Linked DNA regions of Struthio camelus. The protein of the gene in region 2 binds, or shares a complex with, the protein of the main gene of each other region. Links are inferred from orthologs where the notes say so. Each region holds a gene or a part of one and is shown on either strand. Other genes may lie near its edges.

Region 1 (7,692 bases), on a different chromosome or scaffold from region 2:
AGAGCCGGTAAATGGCCGTCGCAAAGGTTGGAGTTGGAGGGAGGCAGAGAGGACCGAGTTTATTCTCTCGTGGTGATGGAGAGAGCAGAAGCACTGGGCGGCCGCGACGCTCTTTCAAAGAGGAGGGAAACCAGCCCGGCCGTGCTGACGGGCTCCCCCCTGCCTCTCCCTCGCGCCCGCCCCAGCGCCTGCCCCGTGGTGCATCCGGGTAGCTTCCCGCGTGTAGCAATGACAGGGCAAACTGCTGCTCTCACCGGGGGGGGGTCGTCGTGTTTTACGGGTGCCTCTCGCTGGTTTTTACGCAGAATTACTTTCTAGAAGGCATTTTCTTCTGCAAGCGGGCTTCCCTTCTGCTTAACTGAGCTGGGTTTGTCCTCGTTTACAGGCAGGAGAGCAAGGGGGAGCTGCGCTGCCGGCAGGGGGGCCGTTCGGTCAACTGCTTGGACAGGGCAAGCTCTGGGGGGTTGGAGAGCAGCGGGGACGCTCACGGTTTTAATCCTCTGGAGCAGATACAACTGCCTCAGCTCACATGTCAGAATGTGGTCAAAGACACCGATTCCATATTTAGTAACGAACGTGAATTCAGGCTCCGAAGGGGAAGATCGGCCGGAGTAAGGTGTGTGTGGTACAAATGCTGCGCTTCGGCAACGCCCCCGCAAAAACGCAACGCATCTGGCCATCGCCAGCTAGCTGAGCCCTGCGTGCGCCGGCACAGGAAACAAACTTGAGGCCAGAGGAAGCAGAGACACGTTTCTAAGCGGCCCGCAGCGGCACCGCTGCAGAAGCCATCCAGAGGCAGAGCAGCAGCAGAGCAGGTCAGCACGCTGGCTCCCGGGAAATGGAGCGGCTGCGCCGAGCTCTCACAAACCCCTTCGAACCGGCAGCCGGGAGAAAAGCTCCCTTCCTACAGGCTGCTTAAACAGCACGAAATCGGGGGCGATTGCCTCCAAGGATCCCATCTGAGGCTTTGTTTTGAGCCGGGCTCCGAGAGCGCTCAGCATCGGCACGTGGGTGGCGGCTGCGGGTCCTTCCTCCCCGCTCCCCCTAAATCGAAAAGCTCATTGGGAAATCTTGTTCACTTCAGTGGCAACAGGAGGAGGCCAGCATTTAATCTGCACAACCTAGGATTACCCGGCTTGTTTTGCAGCAGATTAACATTCAAGGTGTTTTTTTTTTTTTTCTCCTTTTGTGAAATAGCACAGTCTCAGATCTGCCAAACAAAATCTGACTCTAAGCGAGCAGCACTGACTCTAGGCAAGCAGCACTGGCTCCTGCCAGATGAGTAGCCCCAAAAGCAGGAATCTCTTATTCACCTGGAAAGCTGGAGGGTTAGTAATGGGATGAAAAGATGTAAACAAATGGCCCCGTTTATCAAATGCTCTTAAGAAAGGGCCTTCCTGCACCTCGAGGAGCAGGTGAACAGTGTCCGAGTGGGCCCACGGGAGCGGGGTAAACATTTGGGGGATGTTGTTTTATATAAAGTACTATAAAGTCATAGTTGTATCTAAAGAACTAGGAAGTCTCATTTCCATCTTTACATTTTGCAAACACCAAGTAGTATCTGAGAGGCCAGAACAGTCAAATAGGCAGCTTAGACAGTATCTGGGCTTGCACGTTTTCTCCTGTAATGGTAGGACAGGTTCTAGCCCAACTCCTAGGGAAAACCGCAGCAGCACTCCAGCAAATATGTTTGTTCTTGCTATGCTGTTTAAAGAACAAACTGAAAATGTTCTTTCTGGGAAAATTTTAATCTGATGAATAGTGCTGCTAAACAACAATTTGAGCCAATGTCGCCTTCACTGTTGTTTGTACCAGAATAGTAAAAAAGAAGGATTTTTCCTGCAGAGAGGAAGTGGTCAGATAGGGTAAAGGACAGAGTTTAATAACAGAGACAGATATCTCCCCTTAGGAAGAAAAGGCTCCCAGAACAAAGGACTTGCAGTAATTTCACAAATCCTCTTAACTTGCTAGATGTAAGACTTCACGAGGAAGGGACACAGGAATAGGCAGAACTGTGCACGAAGAATTAGTCTAGGGTTGTGACTTGAAATCTGAATGTTAATCCAGCACCGTTCAAGCTCTCTCCAGAAAGGAGCGAGAGGGGCCTGTTCTGTTTTTAAACAGAACTCCTTGCTGGGAGAATTAAAATTTCAAGAGCATCCCTGAGAAAAAGACTGGGGATAGCGGCGATTCGCTCACAGAGGTGTGCAAGAGGTTTCTTGCAAGAGAAGCTGCCGGCACTAGTCTTTATTTGTGACAGCTATATTTCAGGCTTAAAAAAATAAATCAGGGAACAGCTCATGCCGCTGCCTTCCCGGCGAACAGCTCTCTCCAGCTACCTGTGGGCATTTTTCAGAGCCAGCAGCTCCCGCAGCCCGGCCGTTAGGGGTGCCCGCGCCCGGCGCCCCGGTGCTTTGAGCGCAGAGGTGACACACGCTCGCTCGGCAGCGGCTAGGAGCGATCTAACTTGGAGGCGAGGAGCGCGGCCGGGGCCCAGCGGGGCGCTGCGGGCCGGGGGCGGCGGCGGGCCGGGCCGGGCTCCCGGGGGGGGGGGCGCCGGTGCCCGGCCGGCAGCCGCGCGGTGGCGGAGCCGCCCCCGGGCCAGGGGCCGGCGGCGGCGTCTGCGGGAAGGGGGGCGGCGGGGCCTCACCTCCAGCTTGTCGGTGAGCTCCTTGTGCATCCTCTCGTACTGGCGGCTCATGTCCTGGTTGCGCTCCAGCAGCGCCTTGCCCAGCCGCGCCGCCAGCACCAGGTCCTTCTCCTTCTGCCGGATCAGCGAGAGCAGCTCGGGGTCGCGGGCGGCGGCGGCGGGCGGCGGCTCCGGCGGCTCCCCGGCGGCGGCCAGCAGCGCCAGCTCCTCCTCCAGGGCCAGCTCCAGGGCGGCGGCCCCGGCGGCGGCGGCAGCGGCGGCGGCGGCGGCCCCGGCCCCGGCCCCGGGCGGCTCCATGCCGCCGGCGCTGTCCGCCTCCGCCGGTGCTGACCCGGCGGCGGGCAGGCGCGGGCACGGCGCCGCCATGGCCCTGCGCGCCGCCGCCGCCGCCGCCGCCGCCGCCGCTCCGCTGCGCCCCCCGCGCCCGGCCCGCGGCTGCGGCTGCTGGGCGGGGAGCGCCGCCGCCCCCGGCCCCCGCCCCCCGCCGCCGCCGCCGCCGCTCCGCTGCCCCGCGCCCCAGCGCCGCGGCGGAGCCATCGGCGGGGCGGCGGGCGGCTGTGTCCCCCCGCCTGGGAGCGGGGCTGAGCGTGGGAAACGGCACGGGACCGGCCGGGACAGCCCGCGGCGGGGGGAGCGGCGCAGCCCTGCCCGCCGGGCGGCCCCGCCGAGGCCCTTTCCCTTCGGAGCGCGGCGCCCGGGGGTCTCTGCTGCCTGTAGTCCACCCTGGGGCAGGTGACTACAGCTTCCAACAGCCCCTGGGGCTTGCTTTCAATTTCAGATTGCTTGCGGTGTTCCCGGATAAAATTCGCCTTAAAAGCAGCCTCAGTGAATGTCGGGAGCTGTAGTCGATCCTGTTCTTAACGCTTTCCTCGCTGGGAGGAGACTCCACTGGGAACCGGGATTTCCACGTAGCTGAGCTCCCTTGAAATCCTTCAGTTGGTTTTCGGTTTTGTTTTTGTTGATTTCCCTTCCTCCTCCTTAGATCTAGGCCTTGCTTTCCCTGGTGCTGTGGGAAGGGAGGCTGAGGCTGAGTAAAGCAGGGTAAATCTGTACGTTGTCACATGTGCCAAGACTGTTTCCTCAATTTCTCATGGTGCTTTAATTTCAAGTGGTGCTTTAGTAGCGACTGAACAGAAGCGTTGTTAAGGAAACCTGTGCTTTTGACTCCCAGAAACCTGCCGAAAGACGGGAAGAATTTCACACAGTTCTTATCTCACGACCTTGCTTCCACAGGGCTTGTTGTTCTTCCTACAGAGGATTCACTAGGACCGTGTTTGTCTGTACCAAGCTACCTCTATGTATCAGTCCCAAAGACATTTTCAGTTGGGACAAGGGGACAGACGACGCTGTCGGGGCTGGCTCCTACCATCAGACCCAGGGCCCTGGAGAGCGGCTGATTATTCATAACGGTTAGAGCGTGAGTTGTAGGAATGCAAACTTCCCTCTCGCCATCTGCCACTGGGCCTTCGCCTTTCACAGGCGATATGCCCCAAAGGCGTCCAGCTCGCGGGACTTGTCGATACTTGGCCCTTCTCCTGGCAGCGCCAGTTAATGCCGGTGGGACCTTCTGTAGCACGAGCACCTGCTCACCGGAAAGCAGGCGAGATGCGGTACCTCGCTCCATGCTGCCTTCTGCACCCGTCCGATGATGGTGACTGCTGGCTGTTATAACCCCGCTTTCTTTTGCGCCGGTGACCCAGAGGTGACGCGGTCTTTATCTCATAGCAATTCCCCCAGGCACCCAGTTTGCTAGACCTTTTGTCCTTGCAATCAACTGGCGCTGGCATTGTTGGGAAGCGGGACTCGCCATAAGGTGAGGCCATTTGAATGGTATTGCCAGTTTTGAAAGCATCCCTCCGCCCCAATGCAGGAACGGTGCTTTCATAGATTTGATCTTTGCTATTTAAACAGAGGAGGGAGTTTAATATTCAGATTGATTATGAGCACCTTCTGCTGGAAATGTCTACTACAGCAAGCCAAGCCTTCTGGTATGGTTAATGAAATCCATTGTGGCATTAATTCTCATCTCTAATTCATCTTTCAGTGTATAAAACAAAAAGAGATTATACTGAGATGATTTTAATCTCTGAAACAAAGCCTGAAATAAAACTCATAGCTGCAGCTGTTGGGATGGGAAGGGAAAAAAAAGCTATCGCCTGGATGGGGAGAAAAAGCACATGTCACCTGGTTCTGTGTATTACCAATATGCTAACAGCACAGCTGGGTGCCTGCACGTGCTTAACTCTCCTTTGGTGCCTACTCACTGCAAAACATGACGGTGTTATCCAGTGTAACTTTGCATTACAGCTTTGTTCACAGCATGACCTGCTATTAACCTCCGCTTCAAAAAAAATCCATTGTCCTGTGAATTTAATTATCGATTTGGCATTTCAGAAATAGATTGTATTTTTTAAACTCCTTTATGCATTGCTTTACTAGTGTTGCATCTTGTATGTACTATGCCAATGAAATATCCATGAAAAATGGTTATGAATAGAACAGTATGGTTTCTTTATAGTTATATGGTGGCCTTACCATTAGGACTCTAAAATGCACCTCAGCTGAGAGGCGGGACACTTGCTGACTGTGCATGGCACCTGATTCCCATTTCTGCTCCTCTTCCCCCCAGCTGGGCCTGGTTATGTCTTTTGGAGAACCTCAGCCTAGAAAAAAGAAGAACAGGTTAAAGGAAATGGGTCAAAGGCAAAGATTTTTCTTAACTGCAGTACTCAAGTCTGATGTGAGACTTCAATGCTCAGATACTAAGAACTGCAGACAGTGGGTAGTTCTTGTGGAGATGCAGCTCTCAAAGCGTGTGAGGTTCCCGTGTATGCATCGCCCATTATCTTCAGCATGGAGGTCACCATAGGATGACAATAGCACAGACCCTTTTTGGAAATGTGAGGGCAGACTGATTCAACCATGCAGAGAGGTGAGAAAAGTGTCTGATGCCAATGACAACACCACATCACGCGGTGGGTAATCTCTGTGGAATTAGCAGGCGAGGGTGAGAACAAAACGTTGGTCAGATCTGGTGCGAGAGGAGCAAGTCATTCTTTTCTTGCTCAGGTGAAAAACTTGCAGGGCTGCGAAGGAAAAGCAAGCAGCAAAAAGTGAGACTACCCCAGGAGGGGAAATAAGACAGCATTGGCTTTGTTGCTAAATAATTTCCCCGGCTTGCCTTTTCCCCATCTTGCAGTTACCCAGTCCTGTAATTAGACCATGGGGATGATTGGAGAATGGAGTTCAAGGGGCCTTTCAGGGCAAGCTCGTGCAACAGCTCTGTTAAACGGGTTCCTAAAGGAGCAAGGTGTCGAAACAGGCAGTCCAGCCTAAGGTACCGCTACCCTGTGCGTGCTGTGCTCTCGGAGGGGTCAAGGAGAGGCGAGCTCTGAGCTGCACAGGCTCTGGAAGCCCAGGGTCAAGTACCTCCTTAGGATGGAGGCTTTGAAATTGATGTTCTGCCTTCCAGGGATTTTGCAGGTTGCTCTCTTCACAAAGGAAAGGGAGCAGAGGGTCCAGGCCCTTGGCAGTTACAGGAACAGAGAAGTACACAAAACTCTCCGAATTAAGCTGGACAAACCATTTTTCACACATCAGAAGAGCGGCAAATCCAACAAATGCCGAAGTACTTTGGTAGATGCTTCCACCTCAGCTGTAGGAGGGCAACAGTCAGAGATGAAACGCGGCGAGGGAGCATCCTTTTTTGGTTAGAGTAAGGGGAGAAAAAGATGCATTGCAGGGGAGCCACAGCCACGTCTTGTTGCTCTGCACTTTTAGAGCTCTTTGTGGTGAGAGGAATTCCCATCTGCACTCTCAAGCGGCCTTTAAGTCTCCTCCCAGGGGAGATGGCACAAACTGTCAGGTTTCTTTTGCCATTCGCTGGCTCTTTTCCTCTCTTTTTGCATGATGAATTGCTCACTTTTTCTCTTTGCTTTACTGCACTTTATTTCTGACAAACGTTCCAGTTATTTGGGATGTTCGTATGCCCCAGGGCTAAGGTGCGTCAATGTACCACAGCCTCCGCCTGCTGCAAGATGGGCAGCAAGAGGTGCCAGCAGCCTGAGAGAGTTTGCTCAGAGTTTGCAGTTACCCAAATGAATAATTAAACGAAATACGTGTCCTGCTTTCAAAGCAGGTCAGAACTGCAAAGCCAGAGATAAGGCTCTTGTGTGACCTTTATTTCCCTTTGCTTCCTTGATGTCCAAAGCTATGCAGCTGTATGCCTGTGCCCGGGTTTTCCCCAGTGCTGGGCAGAGAAAATACAAGATAGGAAAGTATATCCGTGGAGGCAAGAAAAGGAGAAGAGAATAGAAATTTCTGGTTAAACAGAAGGGAAAAGAAAGCTGGCATGAATGCTAGCCAAGCAACACGTTGCAAAATGAAAGATCATCCTGAGCCTTTGCAAGGCTCAAGTATCCCCGCAGAGCTCCTGGCAAGCTTGTTGTTTCCCCAAGTTATCGGTGCTACGTCATTCAGAGGCGAGAAAGCACTCATCCACACAGCTGACTCATCACATCCGCGCAAGGGGAAAAATCCTGTGGCTGTTAAGGCTATAAAGCCTGGCCTAGGAGACTCAGGACTGCCTAAGGACAGATCTGACACCAGACGGCGCTTACCCTACCGACTGTGTGCGAACAAAGAGGGATGCAAAGGGAGAACAGCAGGATAACAAATTCAACTTGTTAAATGGCCCATGAGAGTATCCCTAGGAGACCTCCATGAGACAGAGATGTAAATCCTTGGTACTGCAGCTTGTAGTCAGTGTTTTAGGTGTGAACTTTGGAAGCATGACATAGCAGTCTCTTCAAACCAGAGGTGAGAGTACTGGGAACAAGCGAAACTGCTGTGGAGCCAGTGAAGTTGCATGTCCAGCCACCAATATTTCAGGTCAGCTTGACTCCTTGGGGTCCTACGCGGCCAGTCTGACGTGGTTGCACTCCTGGCCCTGAGCAGCCCTGCGACAAACATGCTGCTTGGCTCCTAGGGCTCCTTCTGCACTTACCTAGTTCTTCCCAGGAGAAAAACTTAGTCATGGCTAA
Region 2 (8,040 bases):
GACAGGAAACTGCTATATGTTTGCACAGTACTCAGCATAATATGGCCTTGTACTATTCAGGTCTCTAGACAAGAACCTGAAGACAAGAACAAAGAAAGATTTAAAAAGATTGGAACTGTTATATTTTAAAAGCCTGTGTGTAATCACAATTAAGAAGCAAGAAAAGGAGAGCATCCCTTTTTGATGCAGATATTCCACCACCAATTCCTTGCCTTCTCCAGGAACATAACTTACACAACCCAAGGTGGAATTCCTTTAAATTGGAGCTTGACATGTGGCAAGTCTTGTGTGTACAACTCTTCTAGCTGTGCCTGGGAAAAGCAAGAAGTTGCATAAACTGCAAAGAAACTCCTCCGAGAACATGCTTCATACATCTTCTAAAGGTTTAGAAGATCTAATGAAGACCAGATTCCTCCATAGCATCACAAGAATGCTAGAGGAGCAATGTTTTCCCCTGTGTAGGCTGAAGAGCAGAGTCCTCAAGCTGTTCCCAGAATTGTCTGCCTCCCAGGTTCTGACTTAATTACTACAGGACATGCACACACAACGCAAATCCTTCAGAATAATAAAAGCAAATAAGAGTGAATCATTGCTGATCCTACCATTTTAATTTTTTTAATCTCTTTTACAGTCATCTGAAAATAAGTTGTGTGTAAGCCTTTTTCCATCTGAAAGATAAAAACATGTAAAGCCCAAGCGCATAAGTACAGCCCAGTGAATAAAGGATTACCCATGACTGAGGTAACTCAGCCTCATTCACGGTTTAGGCACCGGCTTGCTGAGCTAGTTTGGGCCAGTCAATTCACCTTGAAGGGCCCTGTTTCTCCATCCCATCTACTAAATGGGTTTAAAGATTTTTCTTTCCCTTAAGCTTCAACTCTGTGGCTCTCTCCTCCTTTTCAAGATGGCCTCTAACACCTTGAGTGATACTTCTACTGTTGTAATTGAGTCAGTTTCAAGTGGCTTTTGTTACACTGGTACATCAAAAGAAACAGCATTTAGTTAACAAGTTTATAGATATTTAACTCAAAATAGCTAACCTCTTTTGGTTATGCTACTTTAACATAATAAAAGCAAAAAACCCACTCCATTTACAAGTCCAAAAGACACAGAGGATGCAGGAAGTGAGGGGGTTCATAGGGTTAGCTGAAACTTTACAAACCCATTTATGAGTATTTATTTTCACTTTGAAATGGCATATTTTATGAAGCTTCAAATCCATTTCAAACTGACATGCGGTGAACCAAAGACCGATCGGACAGTTTGCACTGGTCAATCAAGTCCACATATAGTCACATCTTAACCTAAATCAGATCTCTCACAGTAAGGCAAGGCCTAGGTCCGCTCAAAAGCGGCACAGGCTTTGCCTGCATAGAAACAGTCACCAGAATAAGCAAGAGCACAAGCAGATGAACAAGTTCCAGCAGGACATACTGCACTGTAAACTGGAAGGGGATCAGCTACTCTGTCATCAAGATAACTAACCACGAGTCTTCATATTCTGGCATGTCAGTGCCACTCTGCGCATGGACTCAGGTTCCTAAGAAAGCTCTTTTCCAATGTCCTAGTCCTGAAGAGGATCTCACATGAGAAAGACTTATGCATCAGTTGATCCAGTAAAACAGCAACTCTTCTGACAAACCTTACACCACTTACAAGTTACCCCAAAATGGGAGGTTTACTTTAAAAAACCATGGAAACGCACTGAAACAAAGCTGTGCCGGCTACCGTTATTTTGGTGACAGTGGTCTGCATCAAGCAAGTCATTAATATCAATGCAAGTCTTCTGCTCTAAATTAGCTCCATAAAAAAGCGATTAGCACTTCCTTTGCTCCGTTCCATCTGAAGAGACATCCTGGCCCCTCACCTGCAACTCCTGCTCCCGTTCCCACACTAGGAGGGGTAGGATAGCAGCACTCAGCAGGCTGAGGCCTGCCAGAGCAGAGCTGCTGACCGCTCCAGTCCCAGCGCATCCTGCTCGCTAGGAGCAAGGGCTGCACTTGTTCGCTCGAGGCAGGCGAGAGGCTCGCTCTCCTTGCGGCCGACCTAGGCTTGACCTGTTTCCATCCTTTTTTGCCTCAGGACCTCTTAAGAGAAAGAGGAGCGTTTCACCACTTCCCTCCCTCGGGGAGGGAAGGGGGGCTAGAGGCAGCGAAGCCTTCCCCCCCGCCCCATTAGCCTTCAGGTCTCAAGGTAAAACGCAATTACCTTTTAAATGTCTCATTCTGGAGCGGGAAGGGTTTCACCGAGGCCTTCCGACTCTGGCGGGGGGGCTCACGGCACTCTCCGATAAGGCAGCAGCAGCAGGAGGACCCGCGGGAGGGCCGGGCCGGGCCCCCTCCGCCTGCCAGCCCCCGGGGTGGTGGGGGGGGGAGGTTCGCCAGGGCAACGCTCGCTCAGGCGCCCTCCCCGCACACGAGCGGCGCCCAGCGCTGCGCAAAGCCGGCCGCGCGGCCGGCAGGCAGTTAACCGCCGCGGCAGCCCGAGCCCCGCAACGCGCCGCTCCCTCCTCGCCTTCGCCCCCCCCCTCACCTCCTTCAGCTGCTCCATCTCGGTGCGGATGGTCTCGTACTCCACCTCCAGCTCCTCGTACTGCTGCTTCAGCTGCTGCTTCTCCTCCAGCACCGCCAGCCCGTACTCCGCCGCCTGGATCTTCTCCCGGGTGGTCTCGCCCAGCTCCTGGAAGAGCCGCTTGATCTCGCCCCGCAGCCACTCGGGCTCCGACTCCATCACCAGCTTGGCGTACTCCTCCTCCTCCATGGCCAGCGACATGTCGGCGGCGGCGGCCGCCGGCGGCTCGCTCCAGCCGGGGCACCGCGGGCGGGCGGGCAGGAAAGGCGAACGCTGAGCCGGGCTCCCGCTTTTAAAACCGCCGCAGCCCGCCGGCGGCCATGGCGCGCCCTCCGCCAGCTGCGCCCGCTCGGGCTGCCATGAAACGGCGACCTGAGCCGAAGCGAGGCGCCCGGCTGCGCCGCCAGCCCCCCGCTGCCAAACCCGCCGCCAGCCCCGACCGCAGTGAAATCATTCAAAAGGAACGGCCGCCCGCCCGCCCCGCGGCATTGTGGGGCGTGTAGTCCGCGCGCCAGCGCCGCCCCGCCGGGCACCCCGCCCGCCGGACTACAACTCCCACAATGCCCGGCGGGGGGGGGGAGGAAGGGGTGCGGCGCGGGCGGGGGAGAGCGGCCCCTGCCGGGCGCGGCGGGCACCGCCCGTGGGGCGCCTGCGGCGGCCGTTGAACGGCCCGAGAGCGGGGCGGCTTTGGTAATTAACTGACTGCGCGACCCCGCTGCGCTCATCGCGCCGTGCTGCCTCTGCCGTCTGCGGGGTCCTCGCTTGCAGTCTGGGACGGGAAAGAGCTGTAAACGTGAACGCGTGCGGGCGCGCTTCGGCCTCAGTGCGGCCTGCCCGGCTGCCCCCTCGCTGAGCGCTTCCTCCTGGCACCGCGCAGGCCTCGGCCCACGCAGCGGCCTCGGCCCGCGGTGCCGCCCGGCGCGGGGGACGCCCCAGGCCTGGGAAGGGGAGGCCGAGCGGCTCCGTCAGGCGGCCGGCCGCTGCGCTCACCGGCCTGGTTAAGATCGTGTAAAGAGCGATAGGGCGCGGGCACAAGGGTGAAAACTCTTAAAAATAAGAGCGCCAACATTTAGATCGGTTACGGAAAACCAAGCAAAAGGAGAGTTCTCAACGGGCACGTGGTGAGGTGTCGTGTTGCCTCTGAGCCCCTGATCCAGGAAAGCATCTAAAGCACATTCATAACTGTAATCACATGAGGAGTCGCACTGAATCAATCTGTTCAAAGTTAGGCACGTACTTAAATGTTTTGCTGGATTGAGGTCGACAAGAACATGCCCTGTAAGAGTGATAACTGAGAACAGGTCTGGAAGGGGCTCGAGTCTGTGAGCAGTAGGACTAGAATATAAGCAATAAGGCATATAAGTAAGAAAAAAAATGTCAGGACTACACCTGTACAGCATCTTAACTGCATTGAATGTATTTGATAAATATATTTTAAAGTTCTGTGAACGGTTAGCAGTTAAGGGTTATTTCACAATTGCCGTAACAGCTACGTTGCTGTGAACACAGCCTAAAGAATTCCAAGGGCTAAATAGAATCTTTAAGGGCCTGATACATCAGCCACAGTATCAAAAATTAAACCTAATTCAGCACAAGCAAGACTGTAGCAAAAAAAAGAAACCACACACACAATGCATACTTAGGTGGTTTCTAGCTCCTTGCTAATGAGACTTCTAGGATGACTGGAGGTCAGAAGGCTTCTGAAACAGTTGAATATAAAAAGAGTGCTACTTCGCAGAAGAGCTCTAATAGCAGTAGTGTGTGGGGACAGACTCACGTATACAGAGGGGTGCTTCCCATTTGCTAGAATGGAGAGAGCGATAGGTCACACCAACATGGAAAGAATGAAATCGTTAACATTAAAAGTATTGTGTTTTAGCCCCAGTGTGATTGAAATCTGCACATGGGAACTCTGAATATCTGGTTTGTTTCCAGCGTTTCAAATCTCCAACACAGTGGCTCCATCAAGCAGTTCTCCATCTATTAATGTGGTGCAGAAGAACTGTCTTTCCCAGCATCATCTCGAGGATAAGCACATTCTCAGCACAAAAATGCTCATTTACCACAGAACAGGCCTGACAGAAGTGTTGAAGAGAAACATTGCAGCAAGTTCGACTGGCATAAATAAATGTGAGACAATAATATCCAAGCAATCTTTACCACACTGCTTGAAAAAGGAGTTGTTAATTGGTAGGAAAATGTTGCTGTTGCTATTTGTTCCACCATTGTGAAGGTATGATAGCAAACACAGAGTAAGCAGGCACAGGAATTAGGATAATGACTTCTTCACCATGCTAGAATTAATTTCCAAAACATACTAAGGGCTGAAGAGAGCTAAATGCTTCTCTTAAACCATTGTAAGTCATAAGCAGCTCCATTAAAGTCAGTGTGAACATGATCCTGCTTTACACCAGTGCAGTGGTGATGACTGCTTGACCCTCTCTGTCTGCACAAGAACTTGTCTAACTTGCTGCTTCATCCTCTTTTAGTGCAGCAAATAAAAGTTAGAATTTCTTCCAGTGTCAGAAACAATGGTAATGAACTGTAAGCAGATGCCAAACATAATAAAAGCAATTACATGTTTGAGCACCCCATGAGCTCTAGAACATAAAGCACCATCTTGGCTTATAGCTGCAGGGTCTTTTCAAGCTTCTTTCAACTTCCGTCTGCGTTCATCATGCTCTATCTCAATACATATAAAAACATATCCCTTTGGTAAACTGTTTAATGTCTGAATTCTGTCTCTTAGTCACAAAACTGCCTTGACCAATTTTTGTCAGGGCTCTGGCGCTGCCTGGAGCTCCATGCGCCTCACGTGCAGGGACACGTTTTTCCCTTGAGCACTGGCATGACGCTCAAACAGTGGTCTGAATCTAAGAAGTAACAATTAGATGTGCTCAGCCCATGGCATGCACATGAAATTCCTTTAGCTTTTTGTTTTCAAAATTCCTCAAGAAAGATCTTTGTTAATGGCAAATGCATATCTAGCTGGCCTGAGGCAGGAAATGCTCATATACCCTCCCTATAACAAATATCTCAGCGTTGTTACATTGCTGGGCTTTTTATTTTTCCTCTAAAGTCATGTCGACTCCAAGTGCCAATGCTCATTTGAGATCCGTACCTGTTACTTTTAGGCACTACCTGGGCCTGCCTGTGATCTTACATCATTTTCAGCTGGTGCAAAACTCACTTGCCTTCATTAAATTTGTACCATACAGCTGCAACTGCTTGGCCCACTGATTGTTAAAAACCCAGACCATCCTATTTCATATGAAATTCTGCATTCACTTCCCCCCTGCTTCTTACTAGGAGAGCTGGTAACCCAGCAGCAGCTCGGGTTTCCACCAGCAGGACAGTAGTTCTGGCTCGCACTGGCACAGCGATGATCTGAGGGAGGAGATGGCCTGTTGGCAGGGCACATGCCACCTAAACTGCCATGCCAGCTTTCCCCTTTACTGTCCAACTTCCACCAGAAACCTGAGACTTCAACTGTTTTTTTTTTTTTTAAAGGAACGTGCTGCATTGGCAAATTCTAGTATTATACCCCAAAGGGATCCATTAAAATCCAAGTAGTTATTTCATAATGAATTTTGCAGGTTTGGACTTAGATGCAAAGGGGTGCCTCTGACAGTGCCCTCAGTGGGAGAAGGTGCATCCAATGAGGAACTAAAGTAAAAAGATAGACAGAGAGGGCCAAAAGGTGAGGTGTCGGAAGCGGAGGTGTGTTGTGCCTCAGCCCCTAACCCTGCCCCAGCCAAGGTGTCGGAGGCGACCTCCCGGTTATGGGCCTCCTCGGGCTCAGGCTGCGTTCAAAACCCTGCCTCAGCCATGGATTGCTCAGGAATTGCCAACATCAAAGTGGCAGGAGAGAGAACTCTCCGTTTTCAGATGAAATTGATACGAACACCAAGGTTATGTTATTTCCATAAAACACGATTCTCATGTAAAAGATTCTCCGCTCTCTTGCAATGGATTTATGCTGCCCTAATACAATGGCTGTCACTGAGTGAACGAGAACGTTTTAGGGGATTTATATGCAGTATGATTCCTTTTAAAACTCAAGTCAGGAAAATAAAAATACTGTTTATGAGATTCCCCCCCCTGCTATGTTTTAATTATTAATATTTCTTCTCAAATTAGTTGTATTTTCTAGTTTTCTTTCTTTCCCCTTATCAGTAGCATTGCTAATCCCAAGCATTCGCAACTGGTGAATCAGAAAGTTATTTTTAATAATAAATACTGGATTGTTTTCATTTGCCTCTTACTTTCTGAGCCTTCATTGGGCTGAGGTTTTTCTCTGTAAGTCTGGACTAGAAAAAAATTATCTAACTTTCTGTGCTGCTTCTTTTTAGAAATTAAAATCTTCACTTAATGACTTGCCCTCAGGATGTGGGGCTTCCATACCCATCCTGAATTAGTTAGGCATATGAGTAAATTGTGAGAAGTGATCAGTATTTTAGATGATTAATAGAGCTGAGCTAATCAACTTATCATACTTAAAATTGCTTCACCTGATAATTATTTTTATTCTAGGTAGTTCTTAAAACCAAGATTCATTGCTAGTTTTCATACCGTGTGATTTTGCTCAAGCGCCTTGCCCAAGATGCAAAGGAAAACGTCCAGCAGCATTTGCGAATATAGCAATAGCTATTTCAAAAGCATTTCTGGGCAATTTTGGAAAACTGGAGCGTCTTGTCAAAGCTAAGGTTCCCATGAGCGTTTGAGATAACGGTGTTACCATAGTAAAGGCTTGTCATGACTGCATGAGTGCAGCCTGGCCTGTACCCATAGCCTCCTCCTGTGCACGACCAGAGGACCACTGCCCATTTCAGGCACTGTTCACTCTCGGTCTTCTTTTCTGTTGAAATTTTGAAGCTAATCACTGAGCACGGGACGGTAGAATTACTCAGGAATCGACTTGGCTACTAAAATAAAATTGGAGACTGTTTCTTCTTGGTGGAATTAATCCATATGATCTGGCCTGATGCAAAAAACCACAGTGAAGGCAAAGCCCTACAATACCAATTATTTAACCTGAGTCCAAACCTAAAAGCACATAGGCGCTCTAATTCAACACTGCAAGATGTTTAGGGAACTAACAGACATGGTCAACTTTGACCAAGCTGTATTTTGGGGGTAATCCCTGCTGAATGAATGTGGAAAGCCAATCTAACCTGTGCCTAAAACAGATGACCTGCAGACATGAGAATCATTAAAACAAACTTATATCTGACTTTAGATTAGTTCAAATGTACCAAAACAAGGTCAGGCAGCACATCACTCACCTTTTATACGCTATATTTGTACAAAGCTCAGGAATAGCAAATCTCAGGAAAAGGAAAAAAAACAGCCATCTTTAGACTGGCCCTGAAACAGTCATAGCAAACTGGGGCAAGCAGCGCCCTGTGCATGCATGCTCTCACAGCCGTGTCACTCATGCCCTCCCTGATCAGGGCAATTCATATTCTG

The links. Proteins that work in one complex are often made in the same cells at the same time.
Region 1: BICD2 (region 2) and BICDL1 share a complex: the UniProt entries of both Homo sapiens proteins name them as parts of the tripartite complex. The link is inferred for Struthio camelus from reciprocal best matches to the Homo sapiens genes BICD2 and BICDL1.

Annotation. Positions count from the first base shown.
Region 1 is NC_090958.1:7,650,749-7,658,440, reverse strand, and holds the start of BICDL1 (BICD family-like cargo adapter 1), read right to left. Parts: upstream 3,017-7,692; coding exon 2,651-3,016; intron 1-2,650. UniProt on the Homo sapiens protein: Acts as an adapter protein linking the dynein motor complex to various cargos and converts dynein from a non-processive to a highly processive motor in the presence of dynactin.
Region 2 is NC_090955.1:17,574,866-17,582,905, reverse strand, and holds the start of BICD2 (protein bicaudal D homolog 2), read right to left. Parts: upstream 3,065-8,040; 5' UTR 2,773-3,064; coding exon 2,533-2,772; intron 1-2,532. UniProt on the Homo sapiens protein: Acts as an adapter protein linking the dynein motor complex to various cargos and converts dynein from a non-processive to a highly processive motor in the presence of dynactin.